Linked DNA regions of Saccharomyces cerevisiae S288C. Changing the gene in region 3 together with the main gene of any one other region gives a genetic interaction. Each region holds a gene or a part of one and is shown on either strand. Other genes may lie near its edges.

Region 1 (8,309 bases), on a different chromosome or scaffold from region 3:
ATCGTGCAAAGGTTGAAAAATGGAAGTTGCACCGGCCTTATCGACTACTCAGTCGGACGTGGCGTTTCAGAAGGTGGAGACACATGAAATTGACAGGTCTTCATACTTGGGGCCATGTTATAATAGCGATGAGCTTATGCAACTTATCTCGGCTTATTACAATGTCGAGCCTCTCGTGGGTTATCTGGAACAGCACCCGGAGTACCAAAACGTGACCTTGCAGTTTCCTGACGATTTAATCAAGGACTCCTCGTTGATAGTAAGGCTGCTGCAATCGAAATTTCCCCATGGGAAGATAAAGTTTTGGGTTTTAGCTGACACAGCGTACAGTGCATGCTGTGTAGACGAGGTCGCTGCTGAACACGTACATGCAGAAGTCGTGGTACATTTTGGTGACGCATGTTTGAACGCCATCCAAAACTTGCCCGTGGTTTACTCATTCGGAACTCCATTTTTGGATTTGGCACTGGTGGTGGAGAACTTTCAGAGGGCATTCCCAGACTTATCCTCCAAAATTTGTTTGATGGCAAACGCACCCTTCTCTAAGCATTTGTCACAGCTGTACAATATTTTGAAGGGCGACCTGCACTACACAAATATCATATATTCCCAAGTGAACACCTCTGCGGTAGAAGAAAAATTCGTAACCATACTTGACACCTTTCACGTTCCCGAAGACGTAGACCAGGTGGGTGTGTTCGAAAAAAATAGCGTGCTGTTTGGTCAGCACGACAAAGCAGACAACATCTCGCCCGAGGACTATCATCTTTTCCATTTGACCACCCCACAGGATCCGAGATTACTGTATTTGTCTACTGTGTTTCAATCTGTTCATATTTTCGATCCGGCTTTACCTGGCATGGTAACGGGGCCATTTCCCTCTCTAATGAGGCGTTACAAGTACATGCATGTGGCAAGAACAGCGGGATGTATAGGTATTCTGGTCAACACGCTGTCGCTACGTAATACAAGAGAAACTATCAACGAGCTGGTCAAGCTTATCAAAACTCGTGAGAAAAAACACTATTTATTTGTTGTCGGAAAGCCAAATGTGGCCAAGCTAGCAAACTTTGAAGATATTGATATTTGGTGCATTCTCGGTTGTAGCCAAAGCGGTATCATCGTTGATCAATTCAACGAGTTTTACAAGCCCATTATTACACCTTATGAATTAAACTTGGCCTTGAGCGAAGAGGTCACATGGACCGGGAAATGGGTTGTGGACTTCAGAGACGCCATTGATGAAATCGAGCAGAATTTGGGCGGACAAGATACCATCTCTGCCAGCACAACTTCCGATGAACCGGAGTTTGATGTAGTTAGGGGAAGATATACTAGCACATCAAGACCACTGCGAGCGCTAACGCACCTGGAGTTAGAGGCGGCCGACGACGACGATTCCAAACAACTGACTACAAGACATACCGCCTCAGGTGCCGTCATTAAAGGTACTGTATCCACTTCAGCATCAGCACTGCAGAATCGTTCGTGGAAAGGTCTAGGAAGCGATTTCGACTCTACTGAGGTTGATAATACTGGAGCGGATATCGAAGAAGGTATTTCCGGTGTCGCACGTGGTTATGGATTTGATCGCGAAGACGCTATGAAAAAGGAAAACAAATGACTCTTATAATTTGTTTCCCTCGACTTCTCTATTTAAATCCAAGATTTTAACTAATAAACTATTTAATAATAAAACAATTAACTCTTTATATGGAAGCCTTGGAAATTAGCCGCCAAAATGGGATATACATTCCGTGCGAAGTGACCGCGTGGAAGGCCGGGTATCATCTTAAAAATCACTAGTTTCTTTTTTAGCGGAATGCAATAAAGGTGCTTTGTGCTGGTGTGGTTTACACGGAACATCTAGTAGCTAAAACTTGGTAACTCAATGGTGATCAGAATCCATAGAAGCATTTTTATTTCTTAAAATGGGTGCTGCTCCTTCCAAAATTGTGGATGGTCTTTTAGAAGATACAAATTGTATGTACACTTCGGAGTGAGGAAAAGAAAGAAAGGGGAAATTAACCGATTTTACTAACACTGACACTTTGAACAGTTGATAGAGATGAAATTGAAAGGTTAAGGAAGAGATTCATGAAATTAGATAGAGATAGCTCAGGGTCTATTGATAAAAATGAATTTATGAGCATTCCTGGCGTTTCGTCAAACCCTCTTGCTGGACGTATAATGGAGGTTTTCGATGCTGATAATAGTGGGGACGTGGATTTTCAAGAGTTCATCACAGGATTATCCATTTTCAGTGGGCGTGGGTCCAAGGACGAAAAGTTAAGATTCGCCTTCAAAATCTACGACATTGACAAGGACGGTTTCATATCCAATGGTGAGTTGTTCATCGTGTTGAAGATTATGGTAGGTTCTAATCTGGACGATGAACAGCTGCAACAGATAGTAGATAGGACGATAGTGGAAAACGATAGCGACGGCGACGGACGTTTAAGTTTCGAGGAGTTTAAGAATGCTATCGAAACCACAGAAGTGGCCAAGAGTCTGACATTGCAATACGATGTGTAAGACTAGGGGACACTTCATTCATTTATGGTATGCCAATATTTTTAAGAAAAGAAGAATAATACGCGATATTGTTTTTTAAGGAAGGAACGCACACTCGCCCAGTTAGAGTGCTGATGATATATACATATATATATGTATATGTAACAAACAATAAGAAAGCAATGATACAACATAGAGATGAGAGAGAGCATATATGTCAGCGACGAGATATACCAAGATGGAAGCTGATCTCATGTAATAACTGCGGGGTGTACTTTGATAATTTTTGGGATTCCATTGTTATTAATAGCTTTGATATCAGACATACAGAATACCAGAGATTTTCCTCAAAAATATGGCAATGCACAAAGGGGGATCAATAGTTATATAAATTAAGATTATTACTTCTTCTTTGTTTTATGTGTTGTTATTCACTATCCCACTGCATTATCAATCCTTACATATCAGCTTCCGTTAAACCCGATGACTATCTCTCAATCATCATACTATCTTCTTACACCGTATATGATAATTACCAGCAATACTAATGCTAGGAGACAGACCATCTTTGATTCCTATTCCAATAAAGTTAAACTGTGATATTGGTTTATTGGATAAGTTCATATCCTAAAACGTGTTGACAACACTTCGGGAGTTTCCAGTAAGTAAAATTTGTATGGAGGGTTGGCCGAGTGGTCTAAGGCGGCAGACTTAAGATCTGTTGGACGGTTGTCCGCGCGAGTTCGAACCTCGCATCCTTCAGTAATTTTTTTTTTTAATTTATTTTTGTGTTGCAAGCGTTGATCCTTTCCATTATGCAGCCATAAGAGGAGGCTGGATATGAATTATTTATTACCAATATAAGGAGCATGTACCGTTGATTTTGAAGAGCCAATTGCTCCAAATTTTGGATTTTGTGTTCGAAAAAGGGAAGATTGCTCCAAACGCAAATAAGGAGGAAACCCGCTGATTGCACTCTTGGAAAAATAAAAATAAAAAGTGGTCTCAGAATTGTTTCAAAAGTGGCACTGACACAATATTTACAGGCGTTGATAGCTTCTTGTTTTAACAATACGATTTAATCTCGGAGTAGTTAAGCCAAAGAATACGTGTTATCCGTAAGAGGCTTATTGCACGTAATCCCCAGTATAAATTATCCGCAAATCGAAGACAAATGTTTAAGAAATACAAAAATCAAGACTTGGACATGGCATTTTGGTGGAAGAAAAACCCCAAGACCCCTTCCGATTATGCCAGGTTGATCATCGAACAACTAAATAAATTCAGCTCACCCTCGCTGACTCAGGATAACAAACGAAAGGTACAAGAAGAGTGCACAAAATATCTAATTGGCACTAAACATTTTATTGTCGGTGATACGGATCCTCACCCAACTCCGGAAGCCATTGACGAGCTTTATACTGCCATGCATCGTGCCGACGTGTTCTATGAACTGCTACTTCATTTTGTGGATTTGGAATTCGAAGCAAGGAGAGAATGCATGCTTATATTCTCTATATGCCTTGGATACTCTAAGGATAATAAATTCGTCACAGTAGATTATTTAGTCTCGCAACCAAAGACCATATCTTTAATGTTGAGGACTGCGGAAGTTGCTCTACAACAAAAGGGTTGCCAAGATATCTTTTTAACGGTAGGGAATATGATTATTGAATGTATCAAATACGAACAACTTTGTAGGATTATATTAAAGGACCCTCAACTATGGAAATTCTTTGAGTTTGCGAAACTGGGTAATTTCGAAATCAGTACGGAATCTTTACAAATATTAAGTGCCGCATTTACTGCACATCCTAAATTAGTGTCTAAGGAATTCTTCAGTAATGAGATTAATATCATAAGATTCATTAAATGTATTAACAAGTTAATGGCTCATGGAAGCTACGTAACGAAAAGGCAGAGCACTAAACTGTTGGCCTCATTAATTGTGATAAGATCTAACAACGCGTTGATGAATATATATATCAACTCCCCAGAAAACTTAAAGCTCATAATGACTTTAATGACTGACAAATCTAAAAACTTACAACTTGAAGCTTTCAACGTATTCAAGGTGATGGTAGCAAACCCAAGGAAGTCAAAACCTGTTTTTGACATTCTTGTTAAAAACAGAGATAAACTATTGACGTATTTTAAAACTTTCGGTTTAGATTCTCAGGATTCTACTTTTCTTGATGAAAGAGAATTCATCGTTCAAGAAATTGATTCCTTGCCGCGTATAATTTCGTCCACAACAGAAGTTTCTAATAATAATGCATCCTCAAGTAACGTCGCCAGTATAACTTCTCCATCATCAGTAATGAACAATCAATCATCCATCTTAACACATTCAACTTCACCTGATTCAAGATAACTATAAAACTTGGTTCACTTTATAAAAAATGGAAAGTTCTCAGGCAGTGGGTCGTGACATGAATATTCAAAAGTAAAATTATATATAGGAAAGTGTTTATTTGCATAAAAAGGGAAAAATAGTTCAGACTTTTGTATTTTTACGTATTTATACAAAAAAAGGTTGGTACCGGAGGCTGAGGAAGCCAGTACAGTTGGATCCGGTACATGGAATTGAGCAATCAACCGTAAATATGAGCGCTTTCTCAAGATATTAAATTATTATAAAACAATTTATTTATCCAATTTATACATGATTTGGATCCTCCTTTGGCTATGTATGTTACCTCTCCTTTCCTTCTTCCTTTTTTGTTTTAACTTTTTTGTTCAAGCTTTTATTGTTTCTTAGTAAATTTGATGATGCTGAACTAGATGGTTGGGAAAATAGTGGTAATCTCTTACTAGTCTCCTGCCCTGTAGGTGATGTGATTCGCTGCCCTTTATTTGCATTAAACAATGCATTAGATTTGGACGTTTTTGGATCTTCGATCTTTTCAAAAAGATTCAGGTTAGTTTCTGATTTACGAATGATGTTGGATTCTTTAGCAATTGTCAGATCTTTCAACTTCCGCTCCCAAAGTGGCACCTGTTGATCCAAGATGGCATTTAGTTCAAGAAGTTTTTCTTCATTACATAACCTTTCCTTCGGGTTAAACGGTCCAAATTGGTATCCGCCTTTACCATCAAATTTTAACAGATAGTTATGAAAATGCCATAAACTTGTCCTGTGGCAAACTGATATTAACGAGATACCAAAATTTTGCGCATTTTCGTACATCCTTTGTTCCATTTCTGGGGCTACTGCAGATGTACATTCGTCGAGCACAGCAAACTTGGGTTTATGATAGTACATCCTTGCCATAGCTAACCTTTGTTGGACACCAATTGTTAATTCTTCGGACCAATTTCTTACTATACTGAATGCATCACGAACTTTAATGGCGCATGGTGACTGATTGTCTTCCGTCGACAACTGCTGTGAATCATTTTTGGAAGTCCTTTGCGCCAGCAGAAGTGACATATTTTCAGTGACTAAATCCTCCAAATCTAATAATTGCAGAATTTTTATTAAATCTGCATCGCCTAGATCATAATCATTGTGATATCTTTCTTTGAATTGTTCAATACTGTCTGGATAAATAATCTGTTCCCTGAATGTCGACCTATTGCCCATATACGGCCTTTGGGGTAAATAAAATATTGCGCAATCTCTATCCACAGTTCTACGCGGCATTATTAACTTGGATTGATGATTTTTATTGGGAGTCGCCCTTATCGGCCAAAGCCCGCCTAGAATACGAAATAATGAAGATTTACCGCAACCGTTGGGCCCAATAATTAGTAGATGATTTCCATGCTTCAGATCAAAACTTAGCTCCGGTACTAGAACTTGATTGGCAGGTGTTATTAAAGGAATATTTTCAAACTTTATCCTTGAATCATCATATTCCACTATACACCTTTCATCTCTTGGTTCTTTTTCGTCATCACCTTTATTAGCATCCAACAAATCATTGAACTTGTTCAATCTCAATCTGATACCGCGTAATTGTTGTATATTTCTCTTCAGTTCCACAAATCTTCCGATAGAGCTAGATGCAGTGACTAATAATCTTCTATTTGTGATGAAATCAGCCGTCATATCATTCCCGGGTTCCTTAAGCTGTAAGGTGTCTTCACTAGGTTTGTTTTTGAAAAATATTGGAATCGAGCATAGTACCAAGCCAGCTGCGCCCCAAGTATATTTAATGACAAATGCAGTAGCAACATCATAAATAGCTCTTGCCTTTATTTCTCTGTTTAAAAATAGCACCAAACGGTAAAATGAATAATCAACGTTTTCTAGTTCCCTCTTTTGCCCTCTTAGCAGTGCAATTTCTTCATTGCTTGAATGTAGATTCGAGTGTAAAGATCTGAACCAACTTTCCAAAGATGCGCTTGCCATAGTTAACCTAGTGAAATTCGGTTGAATCAATTTTAGTAATGAATTGGAGGCGTAGACAATTAAGCCCAGTGCCAAAGTTCCTTCACCCATAACACTAGTGTTTGAGGTTAATAATTTGAATGAACAGAGGATCAAATCCAGCATTGGCTTTAATAGCTGATTCAGTAATAATGACGAGTTCATTGAAAATGTGTAAATATCTTTTGTCAAATTATCCTGAATTTCTGAAACAGATTCAGCAGAAGCTACGGAATAGAAAGTATGGTGATTAGATAGATACTTTGAGAGTAGAAAGTCTGAAACTTTCCTATTAATAGTGACAGCACAAAGTTTTGTCGTGTAACTGATCAGTGAATTAATAAAACTGGCGGGAATTCCAAGGATCATCCATTTCCCCAACAATATCTTTGTGAAGTTTGCGTATTGAGCTCTTACTAGTGTGGACACTAATTGACCATCTAAAGTAGCCACACGAAGAGACAGCAATGTTCTGATGTTCAGAAGAATAGCCTGTGTAATAAATAAAATGAGGCACTTCTTATCATGAAGCAAAAGTTTGAACAAAAAATCTACCTTTCCTTTTCGCTCTCCCCCCTTATGATTAGTCTTGCTTTCTTTATCAATTATTATTGCACCATCTTCTGAATCTGTGCTATGTTTGGAGACTATCGTTAACTCTTCTTTGCTACTTTCATCTTCCTCTCTATCTACTGCGGTTTCTTTTCCCTCTTCAATTTTCTTATTTTCTAAAACCGTTGACTCAGAATCCTTCTTATCAGTTTTGTTGTTACTAGAACTGGAATTTGAATTGTAAAGCGTGGCTAGCAACAATATTATGTATGAAGAACGCAGTAAATTTACTCTATGCTTCTGATAAAATGCAGAAGCTGTTGAGATCATTATAAAATCTTTCTTCGGTAACTTTTAATTGTATTATTATCCCTTTTGAGTCTTTTCCATATTCAAGACGAACAAAATACAGATAACAATGTTGAAGACGTTTGTTTTGTACCGGATTGAGGACAAGATGATACTTAAATATAATATTATCTTTGATCGAGCAAAGCCATCAATATCATCATCTAACATTCACTTTACTCCACATTTCATTGCCGCCCTTAATCTTTCGGAGGGTGGTAAAAACTTTACGGTGATAGTTGTAATTAACGCCGAAGGAATATACATCAAAGACGAAAGAACATTAATTGCATATATTCCAAAAATATGAATAATTACCAAATTATTATTAATTTTTGTTTTGAAATTTAAATAAAGCTATTAAATAAGGATGATGGTGTGGTATGTACTATAATTCAATATAAGAGATTAAGATAACGCTGTAAATGGTTTGGTACAATTGAAAAAAAGTGATAGAGCATTTACGAAAAAGAAAAAAATTATGCTACCAAATGTGCATTATTGTTAACAGGTCCATTTG
Region 2 (3,961 bases), on a different chromosome or scaffold from region 3:
TGTGATGCTTGTCAGAGGGGCAGTGAAAATCTATGTACCCACGCCGGTTTTGTAGGACTAGGTGTGATCAGTGGTGGCTTTGCTGAACAAGTCGTAGTCTCTCAACATCACATTATCCCGGTTCCAAAGGAAATTCCTCTAGATGTGGCTGCTTTAGTTGAGCCTCTTTCTGTCACCTGGCATGCTGTTAAGATTTCTGGTTTCAAAAAAGGCAGTTCAGCCTTGGTTCTTGGTGCAGGTCCCATTGGGTTGTGTACCATTTTGGTACTTAAGGGAATGGGGGCTAGTAAAATTGTAGTGTCTGAAATTGCAGAGAGAAGAATAGAAATGGCCAAGAAACTGGGCGTTGAGGTGTTCAATCCCTCCAAGCACGGTCATAAATCTATAGAGATACTACGTGGTTTGACCAAGAGCCATGATGGGTTTGATTACAGTTATGATTGTTCTGGTATTCAAGTTACTTTCGAAACCTCTTTGAAGGCATTAACATTCAAGGGGACAGCCACCAACATTGCAGTTTGGGGTCCAAAACCTGTCCCATTCCAACCAATGGATGTGACTCTCCAAGAGAAAGTTATGACTGGTTCGATCGGCTATGTTGTCGAAGACTTCGAAGAAGTTGTTCGTGCCATCCACAACGGAGACATCGCCATGGAAGATTGTAAGCAACTAATCACTGGTAAGCAAAGGATTGAGGACGGTTGGGAAAAGGGATTCCAAGAGTTGATGGATCACAAGGAATCCAACGTTAAGATTCTATTGACGCCTAACAATCACGGTGAAATGAAGTAATGACAAAATAATATTTGGGGCCCCTCGCGGCTCATTTGTAGTATCTAAGATTATGTATTTTCTTTTATAATATTTGTTGTTATGAAACAGACAGAAGTAAGTTTCTGCGACTATATTATTTTTTTTTTTCTTCTTTTTTTTTCCTTTATTCAACTTGGCGATGAGCTGAAAATTTTTTTGGTTAAGGACCCTTTAGAAGTATTGAATGTGGGAACAAAGACGACAAAAGGTAGTTTTTTCCTTGACTATACTGGTAAGATATCGTCTAAAACAAAGCATGGCCAAGAAAATATCAAAGAATTCAAGAGCTGCTAGACAATCGGATGCTCTTGAACCAGAGGTAAAGGATTTAAGTGAACTACCTAGAGCTGAAAAAACCGATTTGACTAATATTTTGATTAGAACAGCAGCCAAGAATGAGGCATTGCTGGAAGCAAAGATATCTAAGAAAGCCAATAAAAGTAAGAGGGGCAAGAAGTTAAATAAAAAGGCTCTGGAAGACAAACTGGCCAACTCTATTTCATCCATGGACAGGGATCGTTTAGTGAAGGCCTTGAATTTTACCAATCGTCTGGACGGTAAAATTGCCAAGTCCATTTCTCGTGCCAAGTACATTCAAAATACAAGAAAGGCTGGCTGGGATAGCACCAATGAGACTATAAAAAAAGAGCTGGCTTTTTTGAACGGAGGGTTGTCTGTGCAGGCAAAAAGTGCTAGTGAAGGTAATGCTGAAAAGGAAGATGAGGAGATCCCAGAAGTTTTTGACTCTTTAGCAGAGGATAACACAGTGCAGAAGACTCCTACAAATAGATTCGGTGTCCTGCCAGACGATGTTGAAGAATAGAAAATTTTCATATGAAAGGTCCTAGGAATACACGATTCTTGTACGCATTCTTCTTTTTTCTATCTTCTTTCATTCTTTGTACATTAGATAACATGGTTTTAGCTTAGTTTTATTTTATTTTTTATATATCTGGATGTATACTATTATTGAAAAACTTCATTAATAGTTACAACTTTTTCAATATCAAGTTGATTAAGAAAAAGAAAATTATTATGGGTTAGCTGAAAACCGTGTGATGCATGTCGTTTAAGGATTGTGTAAAAAAGTGAACGGCAACGCATTTCTAATATAGATAACGGCCACACAAAGTAGTACTATGAAATTTTCTGCGTATTTATGGTGGCTGTTTTTGAATCTAGCGTTGGTGAAAGGCACTTCATTGCTATCCAACGTTACATTAGCGGAAGATTCTTTCTGGGAGCATTTTCAGGCTTACACTAATACAAAGCATTTAAACCAAGAGTGGATCACAAGTGAAGCCGTCAACAATGAAGGCTCTAAAATATATGGTGCACAATGGCGACTATCACAGGGTCGATTGCAAGGATCCGCATGGGATAAAGGAATCGCAGTTCGAACAGGCAATGCCGCAGCTATGATAGGACATCTCTTGGAGACACCTATTAATGTTTCAGAAACGGATACCTTGGTTGTCCAGTACGAAATTAAGTTGGACAATTCTTTGACGTGCGGCGGTGCGTTTATTAAGTTAATGTCTGGTTTCATGAATGTTGAAGCATTAAAACACTATGCACCCGATACAGAGGGTGTCGAGTTAGTTTTTGGTCCGGATTATTGTGCTCCTGAAATAAATGGCGTGCAATTTGCCATCAATAAGGTTGACAAGATCACACATGAATCTAAACTAAGATATTTGCAAGAGATGCCCCTGTCAAAATTAACTGATACCTCGCAATCTCATCTGTATACGCTCATAATAGATGAATCAGCGCAGTCTTTTCAAATTCTTATAGACGGTAAGACGGTTATGGTAAGAGAACATATCGAAGACAAGAAAAAGGTCAATTTTGAGCCACCCATTACACCGCCTTTAATGATTCCTGATGTTTCAGTAGCGAAACCGCATGATTGGGATGATCGCATCCGAATCCCAGATCCTGAGGCGGTGAAGCTCAGTGATCGGGATGAACGAGACCCATTGATGATTCCACATCCAGATGGCACTGAACCACCAGAATGGAACAGCTCCATCCCCGAATACATTCTTGACCCAAATGCTCAAAAGCCCTCGTGGTGGAAGGAACTTGAGCACGGGGAATGGATACCGCCCATGATTAAAAATCCTCTTTGCACTGCAGAACGTGGTTGTGGCCAGCAGATACCAGGGCTGATAAATAATGCCAAGTACAAAGGTCCAGGCGAACTCAATGAAATCATAAATCCCAATTACATGGGGGAATGGCATCCACCGGAAATTGAAAACCCGCTATACTACGAAGAGCAGCACCCATTGCGCATCGAAAACGTTATCAGTGGTGTGATCCTCGAGTTTTGGAGTGGATCTCCAAACATGTTGATAAGCAACATTTATGTTGGTAAAAATGTAACAGAGGCGCAAATTATTGGGAATAAGACTTGGCTGATGAGAGACCGCGCGTTTAGAGGCTCCGATGGCCCCACAGAACGCAAATTCATGAATAGCAGACTAGGAAATCTACAAACAACTTTCCATAACGAAAGAGAATCCCCTAATCCATTTGACCGCATTATAGATCGCATATTAGAGCAACCTCTGAAATTTGTGCTTACTGCGGCCGTCGTGCTCTTGACGACGTCGGTTCTTTGTTGTGTAGTATTTACATAGTGGACAAGTGTTAGTTTATAACATGGTCTCAATAATTGCACCACAACGGCTTCTCTTTTATAGATGGTTAACATTATAGTATCAATATTATCATCATGATTAAATGATGATGTATAATACTTACCCGATGTTAAATCTTATTTTTTCATGCAGTAAGTAATCATGCAACAAGAAAAACCCGTAATTAAGCGAACATAGAACAACTAGCATCCCCGATAAGACGGAATAGAATAGTAAAGATTGTGATTCATTGGCAGGTCCATTGTCGCATTACTAAATCATAGGCATGGAAATTTCCAGTTCACCATGGAACGACGGTGGATACAGCCCCTATGAGAGAAACAGAGTCGCTGTATCACCATTTTCATCAGCGTTGGAAGGCGAAGAACGAATAGAAACCTCTCGATCTTTGGGTGATCATTGCTTTGAACCTTTGCCATACGTGACGAATTATCTTTCTATTTTCGCGCTTTTTGGTAAAGAGATATTTGGTGACAAGG
Region 3 (8,217 bases):
TTCAACGACACGTTCCCCCTGCAGTTAACAAATGTAGGGGATACGTCTAACAACTATTCATTGACAAATAAAGGAATCAATTGGGAATCTGATAAAAAAAGGTACAAAAAAACCAAATACAATTATACACAGATAGCACCTCCACCATATTGGGAAAAGATGTATCCAGATGGATACAACGAGACGAATATTCCTGATATTCAGGATTGGGAAGAGTTCCAAAACTGGATGAGGCCAGGTGCTTTTGATAAAATTACAAAACTGATCAGAATCAATAAAAACGATACTTTGCCAGCGGGTGAATACCAGTTGGATATCGGTCTGCATTGGCCAGTATTGGAGTTTAATGGTAAGAAGGGAATCTACTTGACTCACGGTTCTCACCTTGGCGGTAGAAATCCATTTTTAGGTATAGTTTACCTGATTGGAGGCTGTATTTGTGCTGCCATGGCATTGATATTATTAACGTTTTGGCTCTTCGGCGGTAGAAAGATTGCTGATGCATCAAGTTTGTCATGGAATATGAAATAGAAAAGGAGTGATGGTTTTCTTTATTTTTAACCCTGTAAAATTTTTTTATTTTTTTATTTTTACTCTTATATATGTATATGTTTGTGTTTATTTCTGAATAAAAATTTATAAGAACCAAATTAAAACCGTTAATAGCCCACCCAAAATTGAAGTAAACGAACTCATACCTAGATGCTGGGCCTCATTATGCGAAACTGTTTTCTTTATTGCAGATTTAATAACGCCTACAGTACCGGTTAAAGTACCCATCCCAATAGACCCCACGGAGGGAGAAGCGACTGTTACGTACTGGGAGGAGAAACGCTGGACAAAAGTAGTTTGCACAGTGATAGTGTTGCCCTGTCTAACAACAGTGACCCACATGGACGTTGGCGCACGTGTGGTTGTGTAAGTGGAGGTTGTACCTTCAGTGATGGTAATGTATGAGTCAATAGATAGACTAGTGACAGCAGACACAGGAGGTTCTGTGAAGTCTGTGGAGGGGTCTGGCCTGGTGCCTGTTTCAGCTACTGCGCTCCCTGTCGATGTGGTCGTCTTTACACTGGAGGATGAACCAGACGAAGATACAGACGAGGACACAGACGAGGAGGCGGATGAAGTAGCACTGGTGCTAGAATGTGTGAACGTTTGAGTCAATGTAACTGTGGTACCCAAATCGTTTGTCGTGGTAACTGTAGATAAATACAGTCCCGAAGACAACGATGAAGTTGCGGTAGGAACAGTGGTGGTTGTCTTACCAGTAGATGAGGTAGAAGTCGTCGTGGTTGGTAGCATAGTGGCTCTGTTGACTGTCTGAGTAAGAGTGACGGTGGTTCCGACATCGTTAGTGGTAGTGAATACCGTAGTGAAGAAACCTGTTTGAGCGGTAGTTGTAGCAGCAGCAGCAGCGGTGGCAGGGTCCCATATTGTGGTCTCCGTAACCAGGGCCCCTGCGACATTTGTTACCACTGTAACCTGAGTTGTCACAGCTGCCATGACCGCAGCTGACCACAACGACAAAGAAAGTAGCAGCGTAGCGAATGAATGTAATAGCGTGCGACGCATCATTTTTTTTTTGATTGTCTTGCAGAAGTTGAAGAGGTCTTTACTGTAGCATATACAAGTGCTTAATTCTTGATTTTTATTTTCTTTTTTTCATAATACACGTTATAGAAAAAGCCCCATTCTCAGTTTATGAAAAAACGCGATATCACCATACACGCTGAGGTAGGGGGATACAAGGTGAAGAATGTACGCAATAAGGCGAAGTATATGGCACAATTGAGCAGTAAAAGTGTTAAAATATAGTGATATATATATATAAAATACGAGAGTACCAACTATTATGATCTTTTAATGCCCTCTTTCCGTTGAGATATTCATAATAGTAACCGTCACGGAACTGTCGCTTTATACGGTGAGGGGATTATTTAGTTCCTAATTTATATTAGATAAAGAAGATAATAAACATGAGGGATGCTGTAAATGAAAGTGAAATAACTGCTAGCTAGAAGAGCGGTAAGCAGCAATGGCCAAAAATAACCACATTTCTGCCAGTGGTAACAGTACCTCTGGAGACCATCGTCTTAAAGAGGAGGTTCTGACCCCAACTACATCTGCCTCGACTCCTCATAGAATATTTAGCGTGGACGATGATCCAAAGGAGATCCAAAACGATATCAGGTATCTTGAGGGTCTGCATGAAGGGTTGAAGTTCGCCCTGCATGCCAATAAATCCAAGCGATCTGTAAGCTCGCAATCACCAATCGTACATAGCAGCAACAACACGCTGCACCACCACGAGCACCAACAACACTTGCCGCCCACACTAGAGTCGCTATCCTCCAAGTCGCACTCTGTGCCAGACTTAAATACAGCTACTCCCAGCTCTCCGAAACGAATGCATTCATCTATCCGGGAATTACCTCATGATGACAATGATGACGAGGACGCCAATGATGACAGTCGGTTCATTATACACGACTCGCACGGCCATGATTTACTTATAGACGAGATCAATTGCCAGTCGCCTTCACACTTGGAAAACAATGACCAGGCGTCTAATGCTTCGTCCACAGAGTCATTCACTTTACGAGAAAGACAGGACGCCATCAACGAGACCCACCCCTTCGGTATCAGGATATGGAAGCCTGCTTTATATAAGAAACACCGTTCAGTTCAAAGAACCGCGGCGCAAGACATTCACGAGACTCAGTTGAAGACTATTACCTGGGAGGTGACTTGTTCCAATGTGCTATGGTTTATTTTGTTCGGTTTCCCCATTGCGATACTCTTCTACTCGGCGGCTATTGTGGTATTTTTACTAGGCGGCGGAGGACTGGTAACGAACTCTGCGAAGGAGTACTCCAAGTGTCTGTATAAACTCGCCAATTATTTCCTTTGGCCTTTTGGCAAAATGGTATACTTGTTGCAGGACGAGCAATATTTACAAGAAGATAAGGATGAAGGTATTAGTATGCAGCAATTCTACAATTGGGTGACTTCATACTCCAACAGGCTGGTCTTCCACCAGTCTCAGGCCAAGTTTCAGCAAAGAGAGGACCATCCGGCCCCTGCAACGGAATCTTCGTCTTTGATGCCGCCCGCTAACACAACAGCAACACCGCTTAACTCGAACCATCCATCATATAATTCTATTAGACACGAAATTCCGCACGCAGCGGCTCAAAGACGGTACTTTGGGAGAGGAAAATGGAGCTGGGGTCGTGTTCTTTTCTATACAATCTTCCATCTCGTCTTGCAACCCATCCTTGCCGTCTTATCTCTTTGCCTCTGGCTCCTGGTGTTTACCATTCCCATGAGTAATGTTCTTTGGCAAATTATGTATCATTGCAGAAGACATCCGCTTGCATTAGGCTTCAAATATGTCGAGAACTCCTCCCAATCGCACGAAAATGAAATAACCCAGCAGCAATTGAACAAAAATATCCTCTTATGTACGTTCCGTGCCGCTGGCTGGCATTACTACAAGTACACAGTTGATGGTACAAATGTTATTGTTGTGAATTTAATATCCATCGTTTTCTTTACAATTTTTGACTTTTATGTTTTGAAAAATTTCCTGCATTGGAAAACGTGGTTCACATACGAATCCTCAATATTCATTCTTTGTTTGACATCCACCATCCCACTAGCATTTTACATTGGACAAGCAGTCGCATCGATCTCTGCTCAAACTTCCATGGGTGTCGGTGCTGTCATTAATGCATTTTTCTCGACCATTGTGGAAATTTTCTTGTACTGCGTTGCATTGCAACAAAAAAAGGGTCTTCTAGTGGAAGGATCCATGATTGGTTCCATTCTAGGTGCCGTTCTATTATTACCAGGTCTGTCCATGTGCGGTGGTGCTCTAAATAGGAAAACACAAAGATACAACCCTGCTAGCGCTGGTGTCTCTTCCGCATTGTTAATATTTTCCATGATTGTAATGTTTGTCCCCACCGTTTTATACGAGATATATGGCGGCTACTCGGTAAACTGTGCAGACGGTGCTAACGACCGTGACTGTACTTTCTCGCATCCTCCCCTGAAGTTCAACCGTTTATTCACTCATGTTATTCAACCTATGTCCATATCTTGTGCCATTGTTCTCTTCTGTGCTTATATCATTGGCTTGTGGTTCACCCTTAGAACACATGCAAAGATGATTTGGCAATTGCCTATTGCGGACCCAACCTCGACCGCACCAGAACAACAGGAACAAAATTCTCACGATGCACCCAATTGGTCAAGAAGCAAGTCTACTTGTATTTTACTTATGTCTACGCTCCTGTACGCAATAATTGCAGAAATCCTTGTTTCCTGTGTTGATGCTGTCCTAGAAGATATTCCCTCCTTGAATCCAAAGTTTCTAGGTCTCACCATTTTTGCTCTGATCCCCAATACGACAGAGTTTTTGAATGCCATTTCATTTGCCATCCATGGTAATGTAGCGTTATCAATGGAAATCGGTAGTGCTTATGCTTTACAGGTTTGTCTTTTACAAATCCCATCCTTAGTCATTTATTCCATTTTCTATACGTGGAATGTTAAAAAGTCGATGATTAATATCAGAACACAGATGTTCCCATTAGTCTTTCCCCGTTGGGACATATTTGGTGCTATGACGAGTGTTTTCATGTTCACCTATTTGTATGCTGAGGGTAAAAGTAACTATTTCAAGGGTTCCATGTTGATATTACTATATATCATTATTGTTGTAGGATTCTACTTCCAGGGAGCTCTTTCGGAGTAGAAAGCAACTGTCCCCGCTTTTCACCTGGATACCTACCAATTTTTCTTTTTCTTATATCTTTGTATTGTTTGTCTTTCTTATTACTTTTTATTCTATATAGTCTTTAGTTAATTAATTACCCGCAACGATCATTAACACCTCTTAAATTGATCTACTCACAATTGGGTTGTTCTTATACTTAGAGAGGTGCGTTCCTCGAAATAACTCGAATCAAGCCCACACCTGCTCCCTTTTTTATTTCTCCGTCAATTGCACTGTAGAATCCTTTTCTGGTCTCATGTTGTGGAAAGTTTCTAAGATGTTCTTGGGTGGCTTGGTAGCGCTAACAACAATATCGGTTGCGACCCTTTATCACTACCAAAATCGCCTAGTCTACCCATCATGGGCTCAAGGCGCCAGGAATCATGTTGACACTCCTGATTCCCGTGGAATCCCTTATGAAAAGCTAACCCTAATTACACAAGACCACATTAAACTCGAGGCATGGGATATCAAGAATGAAAACTCAACAAGTACTGTGTTGATCTTATGTCCCAATGCCGGTAATATTGGATACTTTATACTAATAATTGACATTTTCTATCGTCAGTTTGGAATGAGTGTATTTATTTATTCGTATCGTGGTTATGGTAACTCAGAAGGTTCACCCAGCGAAAAGGGTTTGAAATTGGACGCTGATTGTGTCATATCGCATTTGTCAACGGATTCTTTCCATTCAAAGAGAAAACTAGTATTGTATGGTAGATCTCTAGGTGGTGCTAATGCTCTTTACATTGCTTCAAAATTTCGGGATCTATGCGATGGCGTTATACTGGAGAATACATTTTTGAGTATTCGAAAAGTTATCCCATATATTTTCCCCCTTTTGAAACGCTTTACGCTTTTATGTCACGAAATCTGGAATTCAGAAGGCCTTATGGGAAGCTGTAGTTCAGAGACGCCATTCTTGTTTTTAAGTGGATTAAAAGATGAAATCGTTCCACCCTTCCACATGAGGAAACTGTACGAAACATGTCCTAGTTCGAACAAAAAGATTTTCGAATTTCCACTTGGTTCACACAATGATACTATTATTCAAGATGGGTACTGGGATATAATAAGAGATTTTCTAATAGAGAAGGGTTTTATCTAAAAGTAATAATCAAAATATTTGATAGATTTATTTACTTTACTGTATGTAAAGAAAATGTGGTCAGTCCTCACGGCCACTTAGTTACTGATGGTTATTTATTATGGAAAAAAAAACTGCACTTTGCTACTTCTTCTATTTATATTATGTAATATCTACTCCGGTTCAAATATTTTATTGATCTCTTGCTCATTCTTTTTCCTCGTTTCAGGAACTAGTATCCAACTGAATATTATCAACGCTAATAGGCAAGCAGCAAATATGTATCCTAGTTTGAAATCAATTTTGGATACAATCATTGGTGTTAAAAGTGATATTAAGAAATTGAACATCCAATTGATAAATGTGCAAATAGCCATTGATATGGCCCTCGTTCTTAGAGGGAACAATTCGGACACTAGTACAAATGTAACTGGGCCCAATGTTATTGCAAACCAAAAAATAAAACAACAAGTCACGATAATTAAAACAATATTTGAGAAGTCCGTTTCTCTTCCAAATGTCCCCACAGTAGCATATGTCATCATATAAAATAATAAATTTGTTGAACCATATAATAAACATGTCTTGTGGCCCCATTTCTCCACGTAATATATGCCTAATATCGTAGAAAGGAAGTTAACACTTGACAGTATGATTGAAGTAATATAAGGATCCTTAATCCCGACACCTTTGAAAACAGACGTTCCGTAATAAAAGAAATAATTTATTCCGGACAGCTGTTGAAATGCCATTATCATCATACCAATAATCAGTCTCAACCATAACTTTGGCTTTCCCATAATAAATTCAAATGTGTTTCTTTTAACTAAGCTTTGCTTTTTTGATTCGTTGTTAGTTTCCTCATTATTATAGTTATTTTCCAGCAAATCATCGATGAATTCAATTACCATGCTATCCGTCGCAGGGATGCCATTCATCCTCGCAAAAGAGTATTTAGCAGAGGGCACATCATTTTTGATTTTTGCCAAGTACTGTGGAGATTCAGGAACGTAAACAAGTGACATTCCAATTATAATTGCCCAAATGTATCCCAAGAACAATGGCAATTGCCAGGCTATATTTTGTGTAGGATCTTTATAACATCTTTCGCATATGAAATTTAAAATGTTTCCCATTAGTATGCCAAATGTTACAATCAATTGATACGTAGATACCATGGAGCCTCTGATTTTTAGTGGAGAATTCTCGGAGAGAAACATTGGCACCAAGACAGTGGTTACTCCCACACCGATTCCCGTTACGGCTCTTCCCAATGTCAAAAAATACCACCTTCCATAGGAGAGAATTTGAATGGTTATACCGATGCAGTACACTACTAAGGCAAACCATATACCACCTTTCCTACCAATCCAATCACCGATTTTTGACAGAGTTAAAGCCCCTACGCCACAACTGATGTTAAAAATACTGATAATTAGGCCTATTTGCAGATCAGTAAGTTTCTTAGTAGATACAAAAATTGTTTCATCGTCATGGATAATATTAGTTGTGCCAAATTTTTCTTGAAAGCTAACCATATTTGTCATTCCACCGATGGTTCCAATGTCCCATCCAAAAATAAAGCCACCAAGCGAGATTACCAAGCACAATAAAACGGGAATATGCAGACTCGCATTGTGACTAATCTTTGCTGCTTGGCCTTCTATATTTTCTTCTTTATCATCTAGATACTTAATGGTTACATTATAATCCCTTCCCCTGCCTGCATCAAGCTCATTATTGTGAAAATGAGAGATGTATCCCGAGCTATGTTGATACGGAATCTGAGCAGTCATTTCTAGCAATAATTGAAGTACTTTACTTCCTAAGAATACGTTAACAAATTCTTTGTTAGTATTTCTAATTAAAAGTGGTTAATTGTTCTGTTAAACAGTATTCAATGTTGCTATTTGAATTTGTGTCATCATTAGAATTACTGACATTTTTATTTTCTATTTTTTTTTCTATTTTTTTTCCTCTTCTTTTGAGGGCCGACGTATCGATTTGTCAAGGGAAGTATAATTAAAGAAAGCACTGATATACAGGTTGCTGGGTAGATATTAAGAAGCTCAACATAGACACGTTATGGACGGGCATAATCAGAACCAGTACCAGAATCAGAATCAAATTCAGCAGTCACAACAACCACCTCTGAAGAAATATGTGACACAGAGACGATCGGTAGACGTGAGTTCTCCGTATATTAACCTATATTACAACAGACGACATGGATTACCGAACCTAGTGGTAGAGCCAGAAACTTCATACACAATAGATATAATGCCGCCTAATGCCTACAGAGGTCGAGATCGAGTCATAAATTTGCCCAGCAAATTTACGC
Region 4 (8,723 bases), on a different chromosome or scaffold from region 3:
TGCCTTCTGAGTGAAAAAAGTCATGATCTTCGCGTTATTGCAGCGGAATTTGCCGACAGGACCTAGGTCTTGAGAAAGAAAAGTGATAGGGTAAGTAATGGAAGAAGAGGGCACAGGTCCAATCACGCAGCTTCATTACAGGGCTATAATTGCAAGAATAATAACTTTCAACCATATAGAAATCCAATACAGTATATTGGTATTGTTTAGAAAGGTATTAAGAAGGCAGTAGCATACAGAGTATATATCTATAGGCAGAGCATCAGATCATAAAGATAGTGGTGAAATGGCTAGAACCAAAAGTAGGAAGCGTTCCGGAAATAACCAAAATAAGAATGCGTCTGTGGTAAATAATAAGGCTGAGATCGCCGCCATGATTGATGCAAGAAGGCTTGAGCAAAAGAAAAAGGGTGGGGTGACTAACAGCAAAGGAAAGACGAATAAGGTAGTGGATGCGAAGTTAGAAAAAGAGTTCAAAGACGTTTTACAACGATTTCAAGTGCAAGAGAATGATACGCCGAAGGAAATCACGAAAGATGAAAAGAACAATCATGTCGTTATTGTTGAGAAAAACCCAGTTATGAACAGAAAGCATACAGCAGAAGATGAATTGGAGGATACACCCTCGGATGGTATTGAGGAGCATCTATCGGCAAGAAAACGTAGGAAGACTGAAAAACCTTCACTTTCGCAGTTAAAAAGCCAGGTACCGTATCCTCAAATTATAGAATGGTACGATTGTGACGCAAGATATCCAGGCTTACTAGCGTCAATTAAGTGCACCAAAAATGTCATTCCTGTTCCAAGCCACTGGCAGTCCAAGAAGGAATATCTATCTGGCCGTTCTCTGTTAGGTAAAAGACCTTTTGAACTTCCTGACATTATCAAGAAGACAAATATAGAACAAATGAGATCGACGCTTCCGCAAAGCGGACTGGATGGTCAAGATGAAAAGTCACTAAAGGAGGCCTCAAGAGCAAGAGTGCAGCCGAAAATGGGCGCCTTGGATTTGGATTACAAGAAGTTACACGATGTGTTTTTCAAGATAGGAGCCAACTGGAAACCTGACCATTTGTTATGCTTCGGTGACGTCTATTATGAAAATAGGAATCTTTTCGAGGAAACGAACTGGAAAAGAATGGTTGATCATAAGAGACCGGGGAGAATTAGCCAAGAGCTTCGTGCCATAATGAATTTACCCGAAGGTCAACTACCACCATGGTGTATGAAGATGAAAGACATTGGATTACCTACGGGATATCCTGATCTGAAAATTGCCGGCTTGAATTGGGATATAACGAATTTAAAAGGCGACGTTTACGGAAAAATAATCCCTAATCACCATTCAAGGTCCAAGAAACAGGGTAGAAACTATTTTGGCGCATTGATCTCATTTGAAACCCCTGAATTTGAAAATTCAAAAGAGGATACACAGGCGAATGCGGAAAATGGGCGCCAAGATGACAAAATCGATGATGAAGTAGAGCATAAGTTAGATCACTTCCAGGAAGACATATCCGAAGTGACAAGCGCAGAAGAAAAACTTGAGAGAAACGAAGAGGAATCGGAGAAGCAACTATATACTGTATTGAAATAACTACTAAATATCGCATAGGTACTTCAGTTTTACAAAATTTTACATGTGGTACTATTTCTCACGTACGAGTTTTTTTCTTTTTTAAATGCGGCCCTAAACCATGCTGAAATTTTTCATGAGCTCATCGCAAAATTTATCTCATTATCAGGTCATATAGTCACTCTCAGGAGAATCCTGCTCGATCAAAGTGAGGCAAGTAAATGCGCATATAGAAGAGAGCAAAACTGTCCTATTTACAAGCTTTTCAAAACAATGGGCTCAAAAGTAGCAGGTAAAAAGAAAACCCAGAATGATAATAAACTAGATAACGAAAATGGTTCACAGCAGCGCGAAAATATCAATACCAAGACGCTTTTGAAAGGCAACCTTAAGATATCAAATTACAAATATCTTGAGGTGATTCAACTAGAACATGCTGTGACAAAATTGGTGGAGTCTTACAATAAAATAATTGAACTTTCACCAAATTTGGTAGCTTACAATGAAGCCGTTAACAATCAAGATAGAGTGCCTGTTCAGATACTTCCTTCTCTATCACGTTATCAATTAAAACTGGCAGCTGAATTAAAAACCTTACATGATCTTAAAAAAGACGCAATTTTGACAGAAATTACTGATTATGAAAATGAATTTGATACTGAACAAAAGCAACCTATATTGCAAGAAATCAGTAAAGCTGATATGGAAAAGTTAGAGAAGCTAGAACAAGTTAAAAGGGAAAAGCGAGAGAAAATAGATGTAAATGTGTACGAAAATTTAAATGAAAAGGAAGATGAAGAAGAAGACGAAGGAGAAGATAGCTATGACCCAACAAAGGCTGGTGATATCGTCAAGGCAACAAAATGGCCTCCAAAATTACCAGAGATTCAAGATTTAGCGATTAGGGCCAGGGTATTTATTCACAAATCCACAATAAAGGATAAAGTTTACTTGTCTGGATCAGAAATGATCAACGCACATAATGAAAGACTAGAATTCCTAGGCGATTCGATCTTAAATTCTGTTATGACATTAATTATTTATAACAAGTTTCCCGATTACAGCGAGGGTCAGTTATCAACATTAAGGATGAATTTGGTAAGCAACGAACAGATCAAACAATGGTCAATAATGTACAATTTCCATGAGAAACTTAAGACAAATTTTGACTTGAAGGATGAAAATTCCAATTTTCAAAACGGCAAACTAAAACTGTATGCAGATGTGTTCGAAGCTTACATTGGCGGCTTGATGGAAGATGATCCAAGGAATAATTTGCCCAAAATAAGAAAATGGTTAAGAAAGCTTGCCAAACCTGTCATTGAGGAGGCTACCCGTAATCAAGTTGCCTTGGAGAAGACGGATAAACTTGATATGAATGCTAAAAGGCAGCTTTACTCTTTGATTGGCTATGCTTCATTACGTCTACATTATGTTACCGTAAAAAAACCCACTGCAGTTGATCCTAATTCCATAGTTGAGTGCAGAGTAGGTGATGGAACAGTTTTAGGGACCGGTGTGGGCAGAAATATCAAAATTGCGGGTATTAGGGCTGCAGAAAATGCTCTTCGTGACAAAAAAATGTTAGATTTTTACGCCAAACAAAGAGCTGCCATTCCTAGGAGTGAATCTGTGTTAAAAGATCCCTCACAAAAGAATAAGAAAAGAAAATTCTCAGATACAAGCTGAAACGTTCCTTTTACACAACCATGATGGAACTTGCATTGATTTTCTTTAGCCATATAATTATCGCATATATGTCATTCATAAAACGTTTATAAAACATTAGAATATTTGATATATTTGAATATTTGATAAAAAATTTGATAATTTTTGGGATTCCATTGTTGGTCAAAGCTATAAAATTATGTATGTACTAGAAGTTCTCCTCGAGGGTATAGAAATCCTTAAAATGGAATCGGTATCTTACCATAAATGTTCCACTAGAATGTCATCAGATGAAAAAGACGAAAGAAACATATGACTAGCTCGCGTGGCGTAATGGCAACGCGTCTGACTTCTAATCAGAAGATTATGGGTTCGACCCCCATCGTGAGTGTTTTTTAGTATTTTTTTTAAAAACAATTGTTCCTCTCTAAATTTTAATCAGTTTTTGATCATGAAGGGTTTTGTATGTAGCACATAAACATTTTTACTGAAAGAAAAGGATAGCCTAAATATTAGAATACAATAAAATTTTTTTGAGCCTAGTTTGACACATTTAAAACAGCATCCACACAGCCCCACCAGTTAGCACACTCAGTATGACTGCTGTGATGATAGCGGCACCAGCGCGATCACCTTTCTTAATGTTTAAATTGTTTTGTAGCACGTTAGTGGTCGATGAGTTCATACCGGCATTCGCGTCACCTTTTGACGTACCGCCATTATCTTCCTTATATGGAGCTGGCCTGTCATGAATTAAAAGATTTTGAATAACTTCTAGAGCACTCATTTGCTCACCTAATCCATAGTAGCCATCATTGGTTTGTTTCTGCCAATTTAAACCACATGTATGCCCATCTGTACCACCATTACATGATTTTGCAGCGGCCTCAGCACTTGTTTTTATCAAATCATCAATTGTGTCCCTAGTAAAGGGAGCCATGACACTTGTAAGACCAAGCATACGAGAAAAAATACTTTTGAATGTTCTTTGATCGGTGTTACAGGTGCCATAGTCTTGACAAGCGCTTTCGTACATAATACTATCTTTGAAGAAATAAGATTTAGCACCATTTAGAATTTTTGTCAAACTGGTCTCCCATTCACCTGTTCCATTTGTAGCATTATACATGTATGCAAGACCACCAAGCACGATACCGTGATTATAAGTCCATTCAATTTTTGTAATATCAGTGCAATTTGTATCAATTTCAGCACCATCAAAGACATTTGCAGTATCGTTAAGAACCACATACCCGACATCCACTAGCCAGTCGAAAACCTGTTCAGCAACCTCCAAATATGTAGTGTTACCAGTATATCTGCCCAACCTCGCCGCAATCTGGAACAAACATGCATTTGAAACTGTATTTTTATAATTATAACCACTATTCCAAGTGAAAATTTGCCATCTCAGACCACCGCCACAGTGCTCTGAATCCCATCTTGAGTACATGGTGTTGAAAACAGCTTGTACCATTGCCAACCAACCTGGCTTGCCGTCACCGGGGTCTGTAAAATTTCTCTCGACAGCACCCATAACAGTAATACCCCAAATACCTTGGTCATCATTCCCCTCAACCATCGTTTGGTTGGACGGGATATAATCGTAATTGGAACCAGTTTGCGCTAATAGTGCATCGTATAGTAATTCTTGATATGTATCATTCTCACAAAGAAACCAATTTTCCAACATGCCACCAAATGCTTCCCCTGCATGCCACCAATAGTATGGTGACTGAAACATCCCAACGGTACCACCGTATCTAGTACCCTCATAGTAATCCAGCATACCACCTTGAATTAACGCTGTCGCATCACAAATTGACGTTTTGCTAGTAGTATCCAAATCCATGGCATGAGTGGCTTTAAAAAATGACAGAAACGTAAAGCATATCGATAAGATCATCTTCGCACTAATATTGACGATCATATCTGCGTTCTGGATATGATTTCGTTCTAATTTGTTCGTCCTATATAACAACCAAAAATTAATAAAGGTGATTCAAAATGAGATAAAGGACAATGTACACAGTCAATTACTTAATTAGATATTTGAGTAAAGCTGATCTTTTGGAGAAATGGGCTTTTCATTAATTTACATTCTATTTTTGGGTTATACTCAGTTTCGCTTTACGCGGATTACATTGTTTTTTTTTCGGGCGTGGCTCAGATTGTGAAAAAGAAATTAAACAATTTAAGATTACGGTTATCGCATTAGAGGCAGAATAACTTGAAAATGGGAAATTCCCCAAGAAGGTGACCTATACATGACAATGCCAGGATATCATACATAAAATACATAACCCGTTTCTTGTTAATTGATTTCTTTCACCTTTTTATTGATTGTATTCATCTTTTTCTAATTATCGAAAGTGTCATTCGTGAAATTCTTCAGAAAATTTAGAATGTTATCGTCAATCAATTGGGCTACTGGGTCAGAAAATCTAGAGGCAATTTCATTATGTACTTTAGTAATGCCCATATCTTGTACTGCAACACTCAGAGCATCTATTAATATTATTGAGAACTCGATGTACCAACGATGATTCCAGCAACAAATCTTGACTACTAGATCGATGATTGAGCTGTCGATGTCATTGATACTTGACAATATTTGAGAAGAGGTTAACTCGGAGTTTGCTGAGACTGAATCCCTCCTAATACGCTTATGCTCGTCAATGTAAAACTGTAATAGATTCTTTGCGCATACTGGAGAAAATCTTTGGGAAAGCCCAATTTGGAAAGCCTTCGCAGCTTCTGGAAGATGTCCCAGTCTTTTCGCACAAAGGCCGAATAATTCCCATTCAACAGTTAATTTGTGATATTTACTGTTTTGAGCATCAAAATACAATTGCTCTGATTGCCAATCGGTGTAAGTTTTCAAATCTTCGTATAGTAACATGAAGAGATTATCCAACCATCTTTCGCATAGCCTCTTTGATCTCATTTTGGATATATCATTACCGCGAACTTCTGCTTCATCAATGGAAGAAGTGGAGCCTTGGTACTCGTCTTCCATAACGAAAATTTTTGATCTATATTTCAACAGCTGCTCCCATCCTGTTATTTGGACAATTTCTGTCAATAATTTATAGGCTAGTTGGAAAGTAGACTTTAAACTTGACGCAGAGAGATTGACTAGGTTTGGATCTGCGGACTTTTGCTCCAACTGGACATCCATGGGGTTCAATGACGAAATCTCCTCAATTGAGGCATCCAATGGTAATGGCAGATGAAGATTTTCATCTGAAGTAATAGGCGCAATTCTTCTAAGAACGTATTTTTCCTTAACCTGTGACATGGGGCAGGCGTTTAACGATAGCAAGGCATTTGACATATCGTTTAGTTTAATGTATATTCTAGTCAATAAATACCAAGTTTTAAATTCGTTTGGTGCACAGTTAACAGCCTCCATGGCTACTTCCTTAGCAAGCTTGTAATCTCTCTTGACATCCAGTAAGAATTCACTTTGAATACTTAATAATTCGGATTTGAAGATTAGCTGGATATGGCTAGTCTTTGAATCGTCGGCTAAGAACGAAGAGGGGGAATTTAGTTGCTCGTTGATCAGGTCAACTGCATCTATCTCTAAATCGCACGCAAAATAAACACGAATTAATATTATTACTGCTTCTGGATGAATTTCTATTAACTTCTTGAGCATTTTACGACATGCTTCCAAACTCTTAGTTAACCTAACTATTTCCACTAAAGTTTCCACTAAATAATTATTGGTTAACGAGGGATTTAAAACGTGAGTAGGTGCATCTAAATAAACACCTTTTTCATAGACCAAGGGGAACAGTTTAATAAAGTTATTGGCAACATCTTCCAACTCACCCGAGGTAAATGGATTGAAAATTAGTGTTTCTACCAAATTCTGGGATTCTCCATCCGCACGATTATCTTTCATAATCATAATGTCACGTACAATACCACTCATAAACGTTTCCGCCCAAATCATGTTGACGTTTAAATCCTGTGAGTTGCGGCCAGATGACGCTTCTGCCACGGAGGGAAGTTGCGATTGTTCACCGTCGCTATTTATAATGTAGGTTTGCACAGTTCCTGGAATGTGAACTATAATGTTAACATCATATTTCCTAAACGCATTCCAAGAACTGATAGAAATCTTCGATACGTGAAAGTGCTTCTTCTTACCAAACCAAATTTGGGGCGTGTCTAAGAAAAGATCGGTTATCTTTTTGGCAAAGATTGTAATAGAAGTTGGATCCGAAGTATCGATACCCATACAGTAAAAGAAAGTGCCGATCTGCCCCTTTAATTTGTCATGGGAATGTAACTCCGTAACTATGGTCGTAGGATCTTGTCCATTGATGTTTGAAGTTGCTCCGTTATCGTTGGCGGAGGCAGTAGCAGTTGTTGTGCTCGAGGATGAAGGTAACGATTTGATCAAAGTAATTAAATCAGGCGGACCCAAGTCTTGGAATTGTCCCACTCTGGCTCTCCTCTGGTGTAGCGCATAGCCTATCACGTCTTCTTTCACTTCCGGTATGGAGGTTTGAGACAACATGGTTAGGACTTCAAGTTTTCAGTTTATCCTTTTCACGTTCTAAAAATCAATACAGCGCGGAAAGTGCTCTCAAGAAGATGAATTGAGATGTTTAAGGGTCCATTTGTTACTACATTATCGTGTAGATCTCATTTCTCTAACTTTCCATGTAGGAAAGGGCAGGCAGGAAAAAGAACATTAGAGAACATGATCACGATACACGACTAGCGCATTATTTAGTGTATATTACTCTATTATGCATTCTACATGACGCATCTTCCGGAAGAACTTGATTTAGTGTACTTATGATATATAAGCGGTGCATTCACATAGACTTTGGGTCCTCAAGGTCCCACTCCTTCGCTGTGAGACAATATTTTTCTGGGGGAAGCCTGACACCCCACGTACCCATCACTTGAGGTAATGCCTTCTTGTTTCTTTCCGCAGCTAACTGTAACATGAGCTCCTTAGGTGCCGTAGGCTTAAATTGGTATTGTGTTCTCGCTGCAATGGCAAGCCGTATGTCTTCTACTCCTAATCCACTGCCGGCAGAATTTCCACTGCCAGCGTAGTCGTTGTAAACCAACGCGTCCTTAAGGACTCCTTGTGTGTACCTATGTGCAAAATCCATCAATTGTAGCGGTACTTGGTCCTCATATTGATGAATCGACTGTGATGCGAGGAGCAGATGCAAAAGACGGACATCTCGTGGCGTTTCCTCTTGTGTTGAGTCCGGACCAACTTCTGATACTGAGCCCACTGAGTTTTTATTCAAAACATTCTTGCCTCCGCCGTTCATAATGGTCTGTGAAGTCCTCTAGTCTTTTCTTGTTGTCGTGTTGTTTCATAATGTCAAATTCTACTTTTGATTTAAAGCTCTTAGTTTGGTCATGGAATGCATGTCACTATGCACGTTGTGGGACAATTAATGGAAAAAAATTTATTAGGAAGATATTGATCAAAGGC

The links.
Region 1: mutations in KRE1 (region 3) and CNB1 together harm fitness more than expected from each alone (negative genetic interaction), as found in Saccharomyces cerevisiae (6 studies listed by BioGRID, with this or other methods).
Region 2: mutations in KRE1 (region 3) and CNE1 together harm fitness more than expected from each alone (negative genetic interaction), as found in Saccharomyces cerevisiae (5 studies listed by BioGRID, with this or other methods).
Region 4: mutations in KRE1 (region 3) and DFG5 together harm fitness more than expected from each alone (negative genetic interaction), as found in Saccharomyces cerevisiae (6 studies listed by BioGRID, with this or other methods).

The regions. Positions count from the first base shown.
Region 1 is NC_001143.9:81,016-89,324, forward strand, and holds CNB1 (calcineurin regulatory subunit B), read left to right. Parts: upstream 1-1,931; coding exon 1,932-1,983; intron 1,984-2,059; coding exon 2,060-2,535; downstream 2,536-8,309. Other genes in the region: DPH2 (2-(3-amino-3-carboxypropyl)histidine synthase), read left to right, coding at 20-1,624; HYM1 (Hym1p), read left to right, coding at 3,689-4,888; ATP-binding cassette long-chain fatty acid transporter PXA2, read right to left, coding at 5,210-7,771; FAT3 (Fat3p), read right to left, coding at 8,269-8,309.
Region 2 is NC_001133.9:35,512-39,472, forward strand, and holds CNE1 (calnexin), read left to right. Parts: upstream 1-1,952; coding exon 1,953-3,461; downstream 3,462-3,961. Other genes in the region: BDH1 ((R,R)-butanediol dehydrogenase), read left to right, coding at 1-792; ECM1 (Ecm1p), read left to right, coding at 998-1,636; GPB2 (Gpb2p), read left to right, coding at 3,748-3,961. UniProt on the Saccharomyces cerevisiae protein: Interacts with newly synthesized monoglucosylated glycoproteins in the endoplasmic reticulum. It may act in assisting protein assembly and/or in the retention within the ER of unassembled protein subunits.
Region 3 is NC_001146.8:32,658-40,874, forward strand, and holds KRE1 (Kre1p), read right to left. Parts: upstream 1,579-8,217; coding exon 637-1,578; downstream 1-636. Other genes in the region: LEM3 (Lem3p), read left to right, coding at 1-531; VNX1 (calcium/hydrogen antiporter), read left to right, coding at 2,039-4,765; YNL320W (uncharacterized protein), read left to right, coding at 5,043-5,897; HXT14 (Hxt14p), read right to left, coding at 6,050-7,672; cleavage polyadenylation factor subunit PFS2, read left to right, coding at 7,962-8,217. UniProt on the Saccharomyces cerevisiae protein: Involved in a late stage of cell wall 1,6-beta-glucan synthesis and assembly.
Region 4 is NC_001145.3:742,804-751,526, reverse strand, and holds DFG5 (putative mannan endo-1,6-alpha-mannosidase), read right to left. Parts: upstream 5,175-8,723; coding exon 3,798-5,174; downstream 1-3,797. Other genes in the region: U2 snRNP complex subunit CUS1, read left to right, coding at 287-1,597; RNT1 (ribonuclease III), read left to right, coding at 1,850-3,265; BCH1 (exomer complex subunit), read right to left, coding at 5,604-7,778; TAF9 (chromatin modification protein), read right to left, coding at 8,083-8,556. UniProt on the Saccharomyces cerevisiae protein: Required for normal synthesis of the cell wall.